Linked DNA regions of Styela clava. Each later gene encodes a partner of the first gene's protein in a complex. Links are inferred from orthologs where the notes say so. Each region holds a gene or a part of one and is shown on either strand. Other genes may lie near its edges. The genes, in order: tectonic-like complex member MKS1, transmembrane protein 107-like and meckelin-like.

The links.
Region 2: tectonic-like complex member MKS1 (region 1) and transmembrane protein 107-like share a complex: the UniProt entries of both Homo sapiens proteins name them as parts of the tectonic-like complex. The link is inferred for Styela clava from reciprocal best matches to the Homo sapiens genes MKS1 and TMEM107.
Region 3: tectonic-like complex member MKS1 (region 1) and meckelin-like share a complex: the UniProt entries of both Homo sapiens proteins name them as parts of the tectonic-like complex. The link is inferred for Styela clava from reciprocal best matches to the Homo sapiens genes MKS1 and TMEM67.

The regions. Positions count from the first base shown.
Region 1 is NC_135257.1:11,290,571-11,296,822, reverse strand, and holds the start of tectonic-like complex member MKS1, read right to left. Parts: upstream 4,527-6,252; 5' UTR 4,143-4,526; coding exon 4,066-4,142; intron 1,545-4,065; coding exon 1,355-1,544; intron 872-1,354; coding exon 788-871; intron 1-787. UniProt on the Homo sapiens protein: Component of the tectonic-like complex, a complex localized at the transition zone of primary cilia and acting as a barrier that prevents diffusion of transmembrane proteins between the cilia and plasma membranes.
Region 2 is NC_135256.1:19,255,720-19,261,971, forward strand, and holds transmembrane protein 107-like, read right to left. Parts: upstream 4,164-6,252; 5' UTR 4,107-4,163; coding exon 4,020-4,106; intron 3,706-4,019; coding exon 3,537-3,705; intron 3,307-3,536; coding exon 3,210-3,306; intron 2,695-3,209; coding exon 2,628-2,694; 3' UTR 2,304-2,627; downstream 1-2,303. UniProt on the Homo sapiens protein: Plays a role in cilia formation and embryonic patterning. Requires for normal Sonic hedgehog (Shh) signaling in the neural tube and acts in combination with GLI2 and GLI3 to pattern ventral and intermediate neuronal cell types.
Region 3 is NC_135263.1:15,829,853-15,836,104, reverse strand, and holds the start of meckelin-like, read right to left. Parts: upstream 4,269-6,252; 5' UTR 3,402-4,268; coding exon 3,218-3,401; intron 2,817-3,217; coding exon 2,737-2,816; intron 2,496-2,736; coding exon 2,399-2,495; intron 1,403-2,398; coding exon 1,318-1,402; intron 741-1,317; coding exon 614-740; intron 1-613. UniProt on the Homo sapiens protein: Required for ciliary structure and function. Part of the tectonic-like complex which is required for tissue-specific ciliogenesis and may regulate ciliary membrane composition.

The DNA.
Region 1 (6,252 bases):
TCATGATATTAAGAATAGAAGAAGAATAAATATCTAAAAATAATTAAGAAATGTAATATAGTAGTAGAATTCATAGTCGAATAACCAGAAAAATTGAAAATATTCAGCACACACAAGGTATATATTGACCACACATCCGCAAATGTTAAATTCAGATATTCTTTTAATTCTACCTAGTAATTTCAATAAATATTTATATTGACTGTTACAAGGCTCTATGGCAGTGGCCTCCGTATGGAGGCTTTCAGCACTGCACTGATGGCACCCCTGTTAAATATTCCAGTGGTATTTGTAATGTTACTTTGATTGGTAGATTTTAATAATTCATATTCAACAAAGTGGAGAAACGAAAGTGAGCAATAATCTTATCAAGCAATGAAACTAGGAAGAGCGGGGAGTTATCCTAGTAAACGCAAAAATAAAATTAGTTTTGTTCCTGGCATGGTGGGCCACGGGCACACGGTTGGAAACCACTGCTCTATAGCCATTACCTTTGGAGGAATTTCACTCTTATCAATGAAATTGTACTATAGTAATATAATGAGGTCATTTACTAGATGCACAAATTCATTTTGATATGTATAACAAGGGGTTGCCACTTGCCATACTACATAGATTGCAAAAACTATTGAAACATGAAATAAGTTATTGTATATGAGCAGGTGAGGAACAACACAACTCGTAATTGATCATTTTTCTATACAGTATATCTATATATCCATATGGAATCTTAATCCATAAGCTGACTAACTTTTCCTCAGCTGATAGTGAACACTAAATTGCCTACTTTTAATTTTTGAACATCATTGTGATACTTGTAATCTTGTACTGTGCCACCAACTGGACTGTTTGAGTAGAATTCATATTCTCTCTGTGAATGAGAATAAACAAATAACAGTTCGACAATAAAATAAGATGGCAGTCTATATAGAAGCAATGTTGTCTAAAATAGGCAGGGTGCTAACCAGAAAAGACACAAATTTTTGAAGGAAATATCTGCAAACTGAAATATGAAAACACAACGAAATGAGGTGAAAAGAGTCATTGCCAGTAAATAGAGACAAACTACAGGGTGTTAAAAAGTTGCACAAAATTAAGGTAGAATTTTTCGTCATGGCAACGATAAAAAGTAACTGTTAAAAAGTCAGTCGTGGTATGTTCAAATGGCATTTCACTGTAATTCAATACTGTTAAAAGGTGTCAGTCGTTAAATGTTTTAAGTAGCATATTTTAACTTCTGGTAATTTTGCGTTACTTTTTTAACACCTGTATATGGACTATCAGTATAACGTCATTGTAATATATAAATGAACCAATTTCGGTGACATTTGTGTGAAAAAAAATCATTACTCACAGCTGAAAAGAACTTCTGTTGCCAACTACAATCTAAATTTTCAGTTTCAAGAATGGTTTGACCAAATTCATTGATGCTTGTGCTAGAAACAGACACAGCAGTGCCACTGTCACCTGCTGCATCTCCTGCTGTTGCAGGACGAGAGGAAAGAAATCCTAGAATTGCTGGACTGACACGTTGGAGATTGATACTGCAAAACAAGTTAAACTTCTTAATTTAGTTATATTGATTTCCCTAAAGCGGGTAGGTATTTTCCATCAGTTACAAAATATATTATAAATAGAAAAAATTGTTGACTAAATTTCTGATAGGTTTCCAATTGTAATAGCAATAAAAGATGAAAATAATGATGATAATCTTACAGGGTATAATATCAATGGATGAATATTCGAAGGTCAAATTTAAATTATTTTTCGATAAGATAATAATTTTTTTTGAAATCCACCATGGTACAAAATAATTACAATACACAAGACGAAAACACTGGATTGAAATACTTAAAAGTTATGAAAACCTCAAATGAGATTGAAAACATGAGACTTAAAGTACTACATAAGCAATGCCACCTTGTGACATGGAATAGGTAAGTGAAAAAACGAGACTATACTCTGTGTTAAGCTCAGGAGCATTGTGATAATACATAAAAATATTTAGAAAATAATCGGAATAAAGTAAATCAATATACATAGAAGACAAAAAACAAACAAGATCTTGGTCATAAGAGACACATTTAGGACTTCGGATTCAATCCAATATTTAGGAATGCATATTTTTCTTAGACAGCTTGTAAATGAGTAGGTAGTAAATGACATAAATAATAAGATCTAAAACTATTGTCGGACATTCTCCAAAAATGATCAACTCGACTCACTAAAAACTGTGAACTAATTACCAATAAACTTTTCCTCATTCAGTATAGCCTAATAAGCATCATATATGTGCACTTGAATATAAATTTCACTGATATGAAGCACAGTTTAATTATAGTGAAAATCCTATTTACAGAGTTAATTGATTGCTTGCTTACCTCAAGGTTTTTTGTAAATGCTATAAATTAAATTATGGCATAGCATAGAACAGCGGCTCCCAAAGGTGGCATTTGCTAAGTGCGCCAGAAAAATTAACAAAATTATGTTAAACAAATATATGATTGAATATTTGAAGAGATATGTTCAGAGAAGAAGCCGCACATCTCTCATTAGATAAATAAGTACAAATGTTATGTTGTTTTGTTGATATTGCCTTTATTCTTTTCACGTTTACAAACTCCGAAAAGCATAAAATACACAATAACGATCACAAAATTATGTTTTATTCAAAGGCAGCAATTTCGTTTTCGTGTAAGTCATGAAATGAGTTTTTTCCCTGACAATTTGGCATAGCAAGAACAAAAATTTTGGAAATCGCTTGCTTAGGAAATAGAGTAAGAGGCTAGTTGGTACTTACAAAATGAACTATTAATCAGATGAAGTATGTGATCTATTATAAGATGAAGTGTAAACCAATCAGTAAATCTTATCGAAACTAAGCTTAACCATGTCTCGCTTTTGTCTAACTAGTGTAGGATTTTTTAATGGTTAAAATGTTGGGATTGTGATAACGCCAAATTTGATACTCTGTCTCTTTAAGGTAATTTCAGTTATAATAATTATCAAAACAATATTGAAAATATATTTAGGATAAATAATTCTGTTTTTACCCTCTGGAGTTGGGTGGAATATAATATAAAATTATCAGATTGGCTCAATCAAGTAAGAACTAGATCTATATTGAAATTACTATTGCATAATTATAGAAGACTGAAATACCGGGTCTCGTGTAGTTTCGTACCTAACGTACTTCTAGTGGGTGTAGCATAACAATTTTTTGATATGTCAATCCTAACCCCCATCTGACTACGCCATCCAAAAATTAAATCACTACGACATCAAAATCACGTCATAGAGCTTGCCAAATATACGCATGATCGACCGAAATGGCATTGGCGCCGACGATAAAGAACTGACTGACGTTATCGGTCTCTCTCCTATTGAAATCGTTGCGACGAGAAAACGAGAGAAATAACTGTTCGATTTCGCAAGTGCAGTTTTAAGTATTCTGTGGCATCTGCAGCTGCCGCAAAACCATGTCGGTATTTCCATACCATGGCCGCTACGGCCAAACTCATGGCAACTGACTTTTTAGCTGCCACAAACCAATGTCGAGCTGCCGTTACCGCGGCAGCAAATTGAAAACCAATGACAGGTAAAATTTTGCTGCCGTAACCGCGGCAGGTGGGCCGTAAAGACAAGGCTGTCTATTATGGTGACAAATATAGGGTAAGTTGGAACGTTTTTCTGATGGATACAGTTTTGATTGATTTGGGGTTAGGGTTAGGGTTTAAGTAGATATAATTCCACATGATCAATTAAAATCTGGTACATTATTTTGTGAATATACCGTTAATACTGATTACTGAATAGCGCTATAAAACCATGGCAAGAGCTGCCGCGGTTCGTTCGTGGCAGGAGCTGCCATGAAGTGGTAAGAACTGCGCCTCCGATTTCGGGTGCTCGTCTTGGATGGCAGTTCGTATAGTTTGAAGGGCTCTATTACGTCACTGTGACGTCGTAATGATGAATAAATGAGTTCAATAAATAAACACTATTAATGATACATTGGTAATAGAATAGCAAGAGGAATTACAAGAAAATAAAGGATGAAATACTGACCTGAGACGAAAATTTTTAATGGGGTCTCCCGAACGATATGTTGCACCACCAGTATCTACTTCATAAGATTTGTCCATGTGTTGTGAGGTTAAATATCAGTTGCACCAAATAATTCAAAATCGAATAACACGAATAACTACGGTATGTCCTGAAAGCTGGTTACAGAAATACTGGTACTGTCCACCTTGCTTTAAACAGTTTTGTCGAATCCCAGGCACGATAAGTGTTTTGATTGACACATCTCTACATAATATATCAAGCGGTCGAGTGGCCCGGGTCAAATAGATTTGGCGAGGTGATCTTTTGGTCGTAAAAAAGTAAAGAAAGGTTTCAATTTTCCCAATTTTTATACGGCGTAAAACATGTTATCAACCGTGGAAAATTATTCCTGCAAAAATAGATAAACTGCCAGTCCACGTGAAAAAGTGGAAATTATATAAAACTCGTTTTTAAGAGCAAAGCTATTTCTATGTTACCAGATGTTTCTATGTCTATAAAATGTCATGTTCTATTAGTATAAATAAGAGGATCTTTTGACGGTACTTGATTCCCTAGCCAAAACGTGTCTTCAGTCTGAGCGGAGTCGCTGCTCTAAACGCACTCAATTTAAATCTGTTTTATTTTCAAGTTATCTCTTGATATGCATTTTTAAAAATTCATTTCCTTTCCTATTAATTGAAAGTGATTTGTATATCACACGTATCTATTCAGTTGTGCGGAACGTTAGTTGTAATGCAAAAACGCAAAAACCGAGTGTTGATTAAAGTACCAGGTATATCAGCAGAGCACTTTTCCGGATTATGAAGAAGGTGCACTCCCACAAAAAATTCGATAGATTCATGATCGCTAGCGTTTCAGTGCCAATTTCAAGAATATCAGGAGCACAAATTGCCACCGTCCTAGACGTTCAAGGCTTCTTGTCAAGTGCAGTTTCAAGTATTTTGTGGCGTCTGAAGCTGCCGAATAACCATGGTGGGATTTCCAAACAATGGCCGGTATGGCCAAACCACGGCTTCTGACTTTTTAGCTGCCACAAACCAATGGCGAGATGCCGGTACCACGGCAGCAAATTGAAAACCAATGGCGGGTAAAATATTGCTTCCGTAATCAAGTCATGTCGGCTGTAATGGCAGGGCTACCCCTGATGGTGACATATATCGGGTAAGTTGGAACATTTTTTTTATGAATACAGTTTTGATGAATTTGGGGTTGGATTTCAGGTTTAGGTAGATATAATTCTGCATGATAAACTATAATCTGGTACATGACTTCGTGAATATACCGATAATACTGATTACTGAATAGCGCCATAAAACCATGGCAAGAAACGCCGCGGTTCGTTCGTGGCAGGAGCTGCCATGAAGTAGTAAGAACTGCGACTCCTGCTTGTAGAGCAGGGGTCGGGAACTTTTTCAGTCAAGAGAGCCATAAAAGGTACATATTTTCACTGCATTTCCGTGCGAGTCATATAGCATTTTTCACTTAATCAGGCCTGAAATTTTTACTCAAAAGTCAACACATAGGCTACAATGCCAATATACATTCAATGTGACTTGTGAATTGTGATGCTGCATGTTGTCTCTGCGGGCTTTGAACGGCTGCTCACATGCAGCACAAGTTGAAATCTACGATACTCATCAGCCATCACCCTTTTTGGTTTAGGCATCTCCTTAGTATTTCAAAAACTAGCTATGCTAGTCCGATTTAAATATGACAAATACTGTAACTAGTATGTACGAACGGACGAAAAGCTTCATTCTATTACTCCTCGGCTCTATCGCTTTGTGATGTCAAAAAATATGTTCCAGAATCTCCTAGTTTTGTCACAATGCCTGTCTGATAATTCTCTTATATAATATGAATTCTTAATAATCCATAGTCGAACACAATATATAATACAGAATAGATCAAATTTAATTCTGCAATGCCATGCTAAAATAAGGTAGATTTCAGTTATTGCGATATTTTCCCGGGCTGAACCGGCCGATTTGAGACACGAAGCAATTGAGAAATCAAATTAGCAAAAATTCCAGTTTGTTTGGGATCCCAATAAATGATTGAAATACAATGAAGGTAATCTGACTCATTTTTCTGGTCTGCATTCGCAAGACACCCCTCAATTTCCGATCTGCTCCTTTAGATATATATATATAAGTGTGTGTGTAACAGCCGATTCTTCAGCTTTTT
Region 2 (6,252 bases), on another chromosome or scaffold:
TCCCATCTTCACCAATTATTTGGGGGATGAACAAATTAAAGAAGTTGTTATACATGAGGGGGGGGGGGGGAGGGATGTCACATGTGTTGAAGTTATAGTTTCGTTGCTTAGATCAGGGGTTCTCAAACTTTTGGTGTCACGGAGCCCGTGAAGAGGTTGACTATTATTCACGGAGCCCCACAAATAAGTTTCAAAAATAAAACTGACAAAAACACATTGTTGCTTACCGATTAATGTTCCTGAGTAAATTAAAATTACTTTCCTTAATTTAAAACTGCTATTTAATTGGGTTAAAACAAGGCATGAATAAATCTGAATTTCACAGATAAACTATATATCATGAGGCCGTAGATTTGACACTTGACAAACACATTAATAAATTCGTTGTCCAATTCCATTCCTTTTGATAATTTTGGAAGGCTTAGAAAGTCGCTGATAACGTGCGCGACTGCATTTCGTTAAAATCGCCAATTGTTTTCGTCAGCGTGGCGTGTTTTTAAGACTGTAAACATCTTTACGTCGGTGTTTATATTCCCAAATTTCCCCTGGCTTAGGCACGTGTTGTTCCACGAGGACGACGATTTTTTGTTCTCGTACGGAATTGTGGGTTCATTGTAAAAAACTTTAGTATACTCATATAATCATTAGCAACGAGATGCCGAAAATAATTAATGAAGAGGTGAATCCGCAACCCTAATTTCGGCATTATAAAGTATTAAAACTAAAATCGAAAACGGAAAATAACACCATAAGTTTTGTTTGAGCAGACCTGCGACAGACTAAAAACGATTTTTCATACATTGTAAATCACAAAATTTGATGTTATGTTGGGTTTTCTTTGGAAATCATACAATAGTCACTTAAATCGAAACACAGTCAACTGTGCGCGCGATGTCCCTTTTTATCCATTGTGAAACTACCGCCAGGGCTGCATGCGCGTTTTTCGCGGTATGTGACGACATTTCAGATACTTAATGAAATGTATTTCACTCAATTTTTATTGTAATAAAATTACATTCAACCCAATTGAACCAAAACAAGGTATTTTAAATATGCCCGCATTCTTCATGGATTGCGCAATTGTAAATATTGAGATATTCGTAAGGGCGATATCTTGATTAAAAATAGTCTTGAGTGCTGAACGAAGAAACCCTAATACGACAAATCCTAATATTGCAAAATGCGATCTAATCCATTTTCAGTTGGCAGTTTAGCACTTACTTTATGTTATTTTAGAATAGTAATCTCTCATTTTAGTAATCGTAATAGTAATTTCGACTCAAAGGCGAGTAACGATGAACACAAATAAATTATTATGACAATACATTATAAATGTTCGCATCGGCCACGGATTTAATATTATACGCAACAGAAAACTCGTTATCCAATAAAAAAGTCTTTTTTTAAAGAATGACCTAATTGCGAAGTATGCTCCACGGGAATTTCTGATTCCAATTCTAAACCCTCTCCTCCTTTTTAAAAATCCTAGCTGCGCACCTGCTTATAGTTAATGTCATATTTGAATTACCGCCTCGTTGCCATATTTCGACGCTACTATTGTCAAATTTTATGAAGACTTCTTTGAAAAGTTACAATATTATCCGAGTCAGTATTTTAAAAGTTATCGAATAGCTCGCGGAGCCCCTACGTTTCTCTCACGGAGCCCTAGGGCTCCGTACGGAGCACTTTGAGAACCTATGGCTTAGCCTTAGATGACTTAATTGAATAATAATAATACATCCATTTCACTTTTACTTGGCCTTCATTCTCATGTATAACAACTCTATAATTAGTTTATCTGCAAAAAACTCGTCGTCATGGATTGAATATTGTGCGACAGAAAAGGCCATTTATACACTAAAAAAGTCGGCTCGTTTAACAAACGCTTAATTGCGGCGAATTTTCGATTTTAAAATTCTGTTGTGTTTGGTTTTATTATTTCTTCACACAGAGTAAGTGCGGTTGCAATAAACGCACGTTGGGTCCGCAAAGGTTTTCGCCGGTGAAAAAATAGTCCGCGACCAAAAAAGGTTGGGAAACGCTCGAAATTAGAACTAATGTCAACGGTGAAACAACATTTGACTCGCTTTCGTTTTCTAGCAATTAGTCTTTTTTCTTTCGAAATTTGGGAGTGACTAAAAATAACCCTATGATAACTTTTTCTGCACAAGCCTTAGTTTAGACCCGATCGGTTCTCCAGTCCCGCACAAAACCAATTACGAACGTTTATTTACGTTATACGCAAATACTCTTATACAAAACGCGACCACGATAGATAGACAATGTGGAAGAATTTTCAGAACTCAGCAGTAATAAAATATATTTATATAAAAATAGGGTCCTTTAGCGAAACACCAAGTAAAAATAATTTCAAACTTTTTGATTCATATATGAAGCAGTTAAAATAGAAAGTTTGTTTAAAACGTGCTAACATTTAATATTTACAAAACTAATGCCAAGAATGAAATTCACAATTTTAAAAAAGTTTTAAGGCAAAACTGTGATATGTGACTGAGCCCTGGATCACTATTTGATCATGATTTAGGACTTTCAATTCAACAGATTCTTTGTGACCAGCATGGAGTGGAAGCATTTGATCAGACGCTGAAAAAAAACTTTGCCATTGACTATAAGTTTTTCTTCAATGCTAAAACACCGATGATAACAATAGTCTCAGTAATTGCTGGAAGGGCACTGTAAAAAAAAAAATTGACAGAGCAATGGAAATGGATTTTGTCACTGAATAAAATTATAATAAAACTCAGTGGCTACCATAAGCTTGTTTCTCTCAATTTTGGTAAATTCAGGAGAATTAAAAAGACGGAAAAAAACAATCATATTTTCAAACAAATATTGTTATAAGAGACTTAAACGTAGAGATTCTCTCACAACAATGTTGTTGGGCATTTTGTTACAATGATGCTACTTATAATAACTGGAATTTTTTACATTTCATATACATTCAAAACCTCCAACAGGTCTTTTTAAACTTACAAACTGTATTCAACAGAACTTAGAATTAGTCACATATCAAGAAGTCTCGAAAATCAAGAAAAACAAGAAGATCGACAGTGAAATGACTTAGGGCCTTGGAGTATACAAGAGTGGAAAATATATTGGTCATATGATGCACCATTATTTTAAAATATTCTGTGGCTTGGTCTGATGAAAAGTATATGAGAATAAAAGTTTTGTTGATAATTACTAACCTACAGAATGCAAAAATCCACCAATATAAAGAGCAGCTCCAAGAATCAAAAACGAAAAAGGCGAGAGTGACACTGGCCCCTGCATGAGCCGCAATAGCTGAATAGTTCAGTATAAGGAAGTTGAGGTAAACAATGTGAAATCTCAATTACTAAATACAAATTTTGCTGAATCCCACTTGAGTTCAACCTGCCTTCATAAAAAAATTTGTTAACGTCTTATTCCCCAATAATCTTACATTGAAGATATAAATTAAACACTATTTCCATTTATTGCAATTCAAAATCTTTTTTTATAGAATTAAATAAACTATTTGTTAAAAAGGATACAAAATAGAGACTGCGTGTGACTGAACATTGAAACTCCACCAATAAACCCTCCAAATTCAACCAAAAAGAATGCTAGTGTTATTGAAAGGCCAATAATAAGTTCAGTGTCTCTGGATGAATATTCTGCAGCAGTGTAGTTAATTGGAAGACATGCTTTCACATTCAGATCCTGTAGTAATATTGAACACTTCATGATTTACTCAAAACTAGAATAGAATATAACCAAAGGCACGCACTATTAATTAAATAGGTCAAAAAACTAATACACATTTAATTTGAGGTTTTCTGATAAAAGAAATATTTAAATCAACAATTACGGTAGTAATTTCTGGTGTTTAAAGCTATACATGTAAACATGATGGTCCCAAAAAACTGTGCTAAGAGTTCTGGTGCATGGTGCTCTGAAATACACTTTAGTTGCTACGTTTGTCATAAAATAGCAATTGTATTTTATATACAATATGATAATGAAAAAATACTCACCCTTGACCAGAATATTGATATGACAATCACCAGATGTGCTATGAGAACCAAGAATCTAGTTGGTACCAAACCACTTACAGCTCTCATAATTTTAATATGCGGCGGATTGAATCAATTTACAGGTGACGGTAGATAGGCTTACCCCTGTGAAAACAGAAAATATTCCATAATAAATCTGTGGTACAGCAAAGACAGTTATAGGTGTATATATTGGGAACATATTTATCCTTGGGGAGAGCAAAACGTTTGCCTAATCATGTTGAAAACTACTGCCTCTTGTCCAATTATCAGTTCATCAAGTATAGGAATACATAACTAGAGTGTTTCTTTCAGTTCATGAACTTGATGGTGGCAGGGTAGAGGAAGCCATAACCAAACAGATGATACAAACTTACTGAACCACACTACGATAGCAAGGGATGAGCCTTGTCATAACCGGACAAGGTATTTACACAAGTATTCTAATGAATGAGGTGAGCCAACCCAATTACCTAACTTATTTGCAATACTGTCTGAATATGGTACTAGAATACCGGCACCAAAATCATGAAAATAGTCTACTAAATATGGGATACCAGTAATGGAAAGTAACTATACCAGTAACTATATTTCCATCAATAGTCTTCTATTACTGTGTTATATACAGTAGGCCTATATAAGTTTATTTTGAATTCCCCGATGGGCAACACACATTCTAGCATTTGCTGGATGAGTCTGACAGTTGTACTGGCACCATAATATTGCAGTAAGACGGGAGATAGGCTACAAAATGAGATTAAATCTGTGAATAGTCAATGTATCGTAACTGTAGTACGGTAAGTTTTAGTTATGCACCATAGGCTAACCGGTACCGATAACTCTTGAGATCTAGGACAGTGATACAGTTCGATACCGGTAATAGCATTCTGACGTCTTTGCTTATGCCCCGGTTAAACTTAAATCGCGCATAGACTAGGTACCGTACCGGTATATCTGTACGGTATCGGTATAGTCTAGTCTAGCTCATTTGAAACGTAGGCTATCAGATGATAGTGTTAACTCTCATGAGCACGATCAACCGCTCGATTTAATGCGTAACCAACCCCGTCGCTGCATATGATCGTAAATATATACTACTACGATATGATCGCTAAACTTCTGATGAGAGATGTCTGTACCACTGTACTACTTTATCGGATCACCGAAGAGCGCCGGTATTGAAATTACCGTCAATATATATATAAATTTCATTGAGTGGGTATCTATTAAATATTTACCTGTGAAACGGTGTTTGCAGAGAACAATATTCGAATCGGCGGTGTGGCGCATCGTGCTATACGTTAAGAATACGCTTGCCATCGCACATATGATTAACCTGATTGCTTTAGTCAATATTCATATAAAACTTGATCCTCGTAAAAAAAATCATGTTTATTTCAATTGCTAAAAAAATTATTTTTAAACAAACTTCGAAAAAAAATTAATAAACCCTGAAGGGGATTTAGGATTTTGGTACCGGTACTCGTTGAAATAAGATGATTGTAACAAACATTACTTGCAATGAGAATAAAAACGTTGTGGTCACAATTGGTGATCTGAATTTCATTTATTATTTATAACCGATCATGTTTTTTAATCCTGGGAATATATTTGTGAGTACATAGCATATATCCCAATTATGTCTACCCAAGAGATTGGTTTTCAATCGTTGGTTGTAAATTGAAGATGAGGTATTCCTAATATATGATAGTACTTTCCCCCACCACAGGACGACAGATTTCTTCTATTCATGCATCCATGCATAAAGGGAACAAATAAAACACCCCAGTGAACATATGGATTTTCATATGGGTGGTTGGCTTCTGGGATATTGGGTGGTTCACGTAACCGCTGGTCGGTTACGGCTTCCTCCACCACCAAGTCCATGCTTCCGAAAACAAACAATACAGTAAATCTAATCCCATACCCGACTTGGAATGGTAACCGAACGAGAGGCCGTGGTTCGCCATATGAATAAGCCGTCTTATCGCCTTTCCTCTCCCCCGGGATAAATATGTAAATCCTATCCTATCCATATTCATACTTGACGTAAACTCGTAAACGGTCCCCGTGCGTTGGTTGCTTTCCTAATTTTGTGATCAGTTTTGTCAAATATTTAATCATTATGCTAATTAGAAACTAAAATGATAAGCATATGAATAACCGTATTTCGGTTCTATTATATCGCGAAACATCCTCTTGCTTGTTTTCAACC
Region 3 (6,252 bases), on another chromosome or scaffold:
CAAAAAAAAGGGTAGGCTATTCTTTGACATTAACATGTATAAAATTGGTCCATTCTGACAATGGATCAATTATAATTTTTTCGAATATAAAATGAAATGCTTAATCACCTGATAATCTTCTACAATCTTTCTTAATACCTTTAGCTCACTTGAAAATGCTCACATGCACGAAAGACTAAAGATTAGAGAGTAATGATACAACAATTCTATTGAATTACTACTGTACCTTCTCAATTTGAATGATTTTATTGCTATCTCAATCAATGTGATGATATACTACACAGCTGAATTGAAAGCATTTTCATGTCTAACAACTTCACTTTTTTGAACACTGATTCATCACATCAACAGTTAAATATATTTGGAAGAAAAATTCGAACTGATTAAACCTCCTCGCTAATGTATACTGCATGGATTCACATTCCCTCTCAAGCCACTTTAAAAACTCAAATTCACTAAACTCGTAGAATCAACTACATTCATTAGAAAAACTATCAATTCTTTACCTACCACCAGACTTGAACAACTCTGAACTTAACAATAATTCATAGAAAGTCAATATATTTTTCACAATACACAAGACATATTAATTAATAAAAATGATAAAACTTACAGTATCAGAAGTTGTTGTTGGTATACTGATGCCATTGAGATTCCCTGCTGTTGTTGAATTAAAACAAAGGCCTCCAAACACTGCTGCAGATGTAATATTGAAACAACATTCCGGACATGGCACACAGCTACAAAAAAAAAATTATAAAAAGAATGAATTTAAGCAAGGAAAATCGTTTAAATGACTAAATACTATGGCAGCATATAGTCAGAATAACGATCTGGGCAAAGCCACGCAGAGTAATTACAAATGTAATGAGAATTGCAAAGATTTTGCTAACACTTAGAATAATGTGCCAACTATTTCCTCTAAATAGAAGAAGCTGCAAGGGTTGAGGCCTGAGGGTCACGAGATCTCGCTTAGATGTTGTTGACAAAACTTTTGAACGATACCTAACCAATTTTTTGCAGGGCTGTATATCTTAAAAACTTTTCAACATGTTTTGAACCATCTCAAAAAAATTAAAAAAATTATGACACGCTCAAAAGAATTCAAAAAAAGGAAAACTCTCAATAAAATCCATTGCCAATGCTGACCTTTATATTCATTCATATCTATTTATCATAGAAGAAATGAGAGAACAAAGTAAGTGTAAGAGAATTTACGAAAGTAATGATTGAATTGAAATAAAAGAAAGTAAAAGCAACAATTACTGAATATATATTTTACAATTAAAACCAATATTTCATTTATTTTTAACTCACTTCAAATTTCCAGTGTTCACCAAAGAAGTTGAAGAACAAGATGAACAAGTTCCAACAGAATCTACTACTGAAGAATATGAAGGTACTGAAAACAATTTTATATTTTACTTTTCTCATTTTACTAAATTGAAACTGATTTATAATAAGCATTTAAGTAAGAACATATTAACAAAACTCGTGGTTAATATGATATGTGTGTTTATTATATGAAATTTGTATGAAAGAAGCATAACTCAATACTAGTGATTGCACACTCATGGCACTATCTATTTGTACATACACCAAGATCATGGATGGATGGACAATCTTAAATAATTGACACAGAAGTAATTTGATATTAATTGAATATTTCAGAATCATGCTTTGATTTCTGAGATCTGATAAACTTGATACAATGAGCCTATTATGAAACCTAATTTGGTAATCTAATAGGTGTGATACTTCTTAATCAAATCAGTCAGGTGTTTCACATGAAATCAGGTGTTTCACAAGAAAAATAATTGTAAAAATATTGAATGGGGCTTTCTGGTTTGTCCTGAATATAATATACTGACAGTATGACAGTACTTTTGAGAAAAATGGTTTTCCAGCAATACCAAAACAGGGGTGTCGCTATGTATGACCAATTTTAAAAGCCACAATAAGCCTAAAAGATTCTCAAATATTGAAATGAAGCATATAAAGTAGCTCATATATAAACATATTACATAAATGAATATCAATGATAACAACAGAAATACACAAAGTGTCGTTTAGTTCGTTCGTTAGCTTGTGGTGTCAAACTGCCTATTACAATGTCAAACTGAATTCAAAACTCTATTAGTTCATTATCAATTCTTTGAAATACTTTCTTATAGCAATCAGCCCTACTTGAAGAAATTATCGTATGCAGTGAAGTGTGAGTCATTTCAAAATATTCCGCAAACCCCATATATGTATGATTTGGCCAAAGTACATGAAAATCATTTTACAGAAAAGTTATGAAAAAAAACAATATGAAAACTTAAGCTAAAGATTTTTGTTTTATTCAATATGTGCCAAGTACTACTGTATGTAAATAAATAAAAATCATTTTTCTTACTAATCAATTGTTGATCCACTGCACATGTACATTGTCCATTTACATCCGTTCCATTTGAGCATGATGAACAGAAATATCCATCTGGAGTTGTTATTCCCTGTTTACAACATTATTAAGGATTATTTCATGTTCAATTACTCACAACTAACAGGTGAAAAACTATTAAACAATCAAAACAAATGACTCGAAAATTTTGGATGGAGTATGATTTATCATTATATGAAATCAATAAATGAAAGTTAAAAAATCTAGTATTGATATAACTTGCTAGAAAAAACTGTAAATGTGAAAAAAATATTTGAATAGACATATTAGTAGGAAGACAAAAAATAACTTACGCTTGAACATGCTTGACAAGACAGAACTCTGACATTGTTGATGTCTGCTTTATAACCTGGTCTGCATGTGCATGAGTAACCTGAAAAATATATAATCAATAATATAAGATTTACATATTTATTCCATAGGAAAGGAAAGTTAATAAGCAGCTATATCACATGGGAAACTACGGACTCCCATTCGGCTACTAGTCCATGCCTGGTATGGGGTTAGTTAGCCAATTAATTTTTTCAGATGCATGAATTTGATGGTAGAGAAAGACGTAACCGAGCGGTTACTTGAAGCGCCCTATGACAGCGTGAAGTCCAGCAGTCCTATCGCAATTTTACCCCACAGGATTCGTACCTATGAACCCACACAGGGTAAACAGGGGTGCGGTGGCAAGCATATTCTTAATGCTTAGCACAAAGCGCAACACCGCCGAGATATTGAGATATGCAAAAAACTAAGAAAATACTTTTTAAGATTATTCGCATTCACCTGAAGAATCTGGCAGCATCCCCACTGGATCTTGGCAATTTCCACATTGTAAAATTCCAAAATTGTAATATTGTTCAGTAGAGCAAGCTGATGGTTGCACGGAAATGAATCCAAACTGTTGACATCTCACACATTGAAATTGGATATACAGAAGAAAAATCGAATAGATGAAAAAACTGAACATTATCTTCGAAATGTTGTATTAACAATTGTCACTGGTTCATAAAAAAAACAATGATCAGTTAAACATAGTAATAGTTTATTTTCTAGAATATACAGATACGGTAATTGAAAAGTCTTGTTGAACATTACGAACCTTTCTTCCAGAGATATCTCTCAGGCTCACTGACCATTCAAAAATCTGAAGATTTACAGATTGATATTGTGAAGCTAAACTTCAATTACTGAATTAATCACAAGTGGTGGTCCATGTTAAAAAAAAATTTCATTTTATTCAAGTAGAAGTTCATCACGAGCTCATTTTATTTTTACCGAATGATAAAATAATTGATAAAAAAACGAATAAAATAAAAAATTATAACTAAATAATAAGGTGATAAATAAAACGAAATAAGTTAAATAAAAACCGATATTAGAATCAGCCTAATCGTCCTAACCAACCATGGCTCTGTTTAAATAAACAGAGCAAATATATATCAAAGAGTTGACAGTGGAAAATAATACTTTCCGGGTAAACTCTTCCACCTTAATGTATTATTCGTCCCTCTGTTGATACACCAAAGATCTGAAAGTACAATGTTGTTGTGTTCGCTGAACCGCTTGATATAACGTAACGCCTTGCCACGCTCGATTAGGCATCAACTTTTTGGGCAAAGAAAAATTCTGCTAGAAGTAGAATTACGTAGGCTACATAATACAGGTTGGGTATAAAAATGGTTAATATAATAAACGCATTCAAGCAAAGTTGCACCTGAATTTGATTGTGCAAATACACATTAGATACTAAATAACATTTCCAGGTATCGTAGATTCTTTTTAATAGCGGTATCTTCATCCATTCATTTAGCGAATACTTGATAGGCCTACTGAATTTTAGCTGCAAAATAGCGAAGTAACAATTCAATGTATGAAATTAACCTAAAAGTAAAAAGCCATTAATAGAACAACAACAGATTTAATTAAAGGAATGTGGAGAGGCGCGATAATTAGGAGGTTTCCCATTAGCGACACCTAGTAATGAGTATAAATATATCGCAACAAAACATTTCTGACGAACATGACCAAGGTCCTGCGCCTGAGTGGCCTGCCAGCCCGGTAGCAAGTCTATGTCCATTGTGCGATATAAGTATTTTCTTTTGCAGTTAATAGGATGTGGCCTGACTAAATGCCGTTTTCAGACGTTGTCACTCGAATTGTCGGGGAAATACAATGCTATCTGATTCACTTCTGTGAAAATAGTTCATTTACTTCTCGCTTTGTATTTTGTATATGGTTTTTCCAAATTGTCTTTGTTGTACACCTTTTTTCGCGTTTGTTGTTTGCTTCCTCATAATTTATTGCTAGATAGTCTTCTGTAATAAAAAAAAAACTCTATGGACCTTGTGTGGATTTTAACCCTAGATCTGTATCATATAGGCTAACACGGTACCGATTTGGGTACAAAGCTCAAACAATTATATAGTAGGGTGACCATACGTCCTCCTTTTGGAGGATTTGTCCGCTTAAATTTTTCCGTCCTCCGAGGACGCTCTGAAACGTCAAAATGTCCTCCTTTTGGACGGGATTAACTATTTTAAAATTCCTTATGATATATATAACCAAAAATTTTTGATGTGTTAAAAAAAGTAAATATAGACTTGTAATCATCATTAGATATGACCAGGATATGACAACTGACAAGCAATGCATTGCGTTATGTTAACATGCGGGGTTACTCTAGAGCAAGCCTGCACAACTCAAATTCCCACGAGGGCCAGAAGCATAAATCTGAAGGCCCGGCGGGCCGCAAACTTTGCCACATACATATTTCACAAGATGAACTACAAATCAAAATAATATTGTGAAACAGTTAAATTTAATGAAACACTTTCATTACTGGGGAGCTTAAAAATATGAAGAATCTTATTTTCTTAAGTAAAAACAAGGTACAGTATTTTTGCATATGAGATGGCAAATATGTATTTAATGGTTCATCTACCTTGAAAACCCACCCTTCATTTTCAATATTTCTTTTTTATTAGAATTAGGTATTGCGTGTTGCAGTATAAACTGACTGCAGGAAAATATTTCACTCAGGTTCCGTTTTGTAAAATCGTCCCAAATATATATATGACAATTTATTTAGTCATATCCACCATTATTGGATATTTCCATTGTAGGCTGGACAAATAATCCGTTTAGTAGCAATAGATAGATCTTCCTCTGTTGTACTTTTTTGACTGTTAAATTACATTGTTTTTACAAAATCTGCTTCAATTTATTTGAAATTTTACAGTAAATAGCAATATCTTTTGTGCGAGAATTTCTTTTTTAAGTTCTAAATTTGATTCAAAAAGAAACTTCAGTTTCATAACCTGCTAGTAAAAAATAACGAGTTATTAATAGGTTGCTAATATGCACTAATAGGTGTGTGATTGTATATCGATATTGTTTTAAGCGTGATTCAGTTTGAATACTGAGATATCTAAATCAGGGTTTCCCAAACTAGGGGGCGAGAGATCGAGCGACGAATTTCAAGGGTCGCGGAGGGCACACCAATTTCACACAACGTTCGATATTTATTGAAACTAGTGCAAAACATAAATCTCACGATTTCGAGTACGATCGGAGTAGCGGCGCGCTTGCATAACAATGCCGGCTTAGGCTGTTAGACCTGAGAAGTGGCGTGTTCCCAAATTACCCGCGGGCCGCACAGAAGTATCTAGCGGGCCGTATGTTGTGCAGGCCTGCCTAGAGGTTAAATGCATAATTGATCTGCACAATCGTTTATGACGTAAAAATCGCATTTATTGTGCAATTCTGTTTTACGTCACTTCACTTTGTATATCGCAATTCCGTGAAGTTTCGATTGTGGC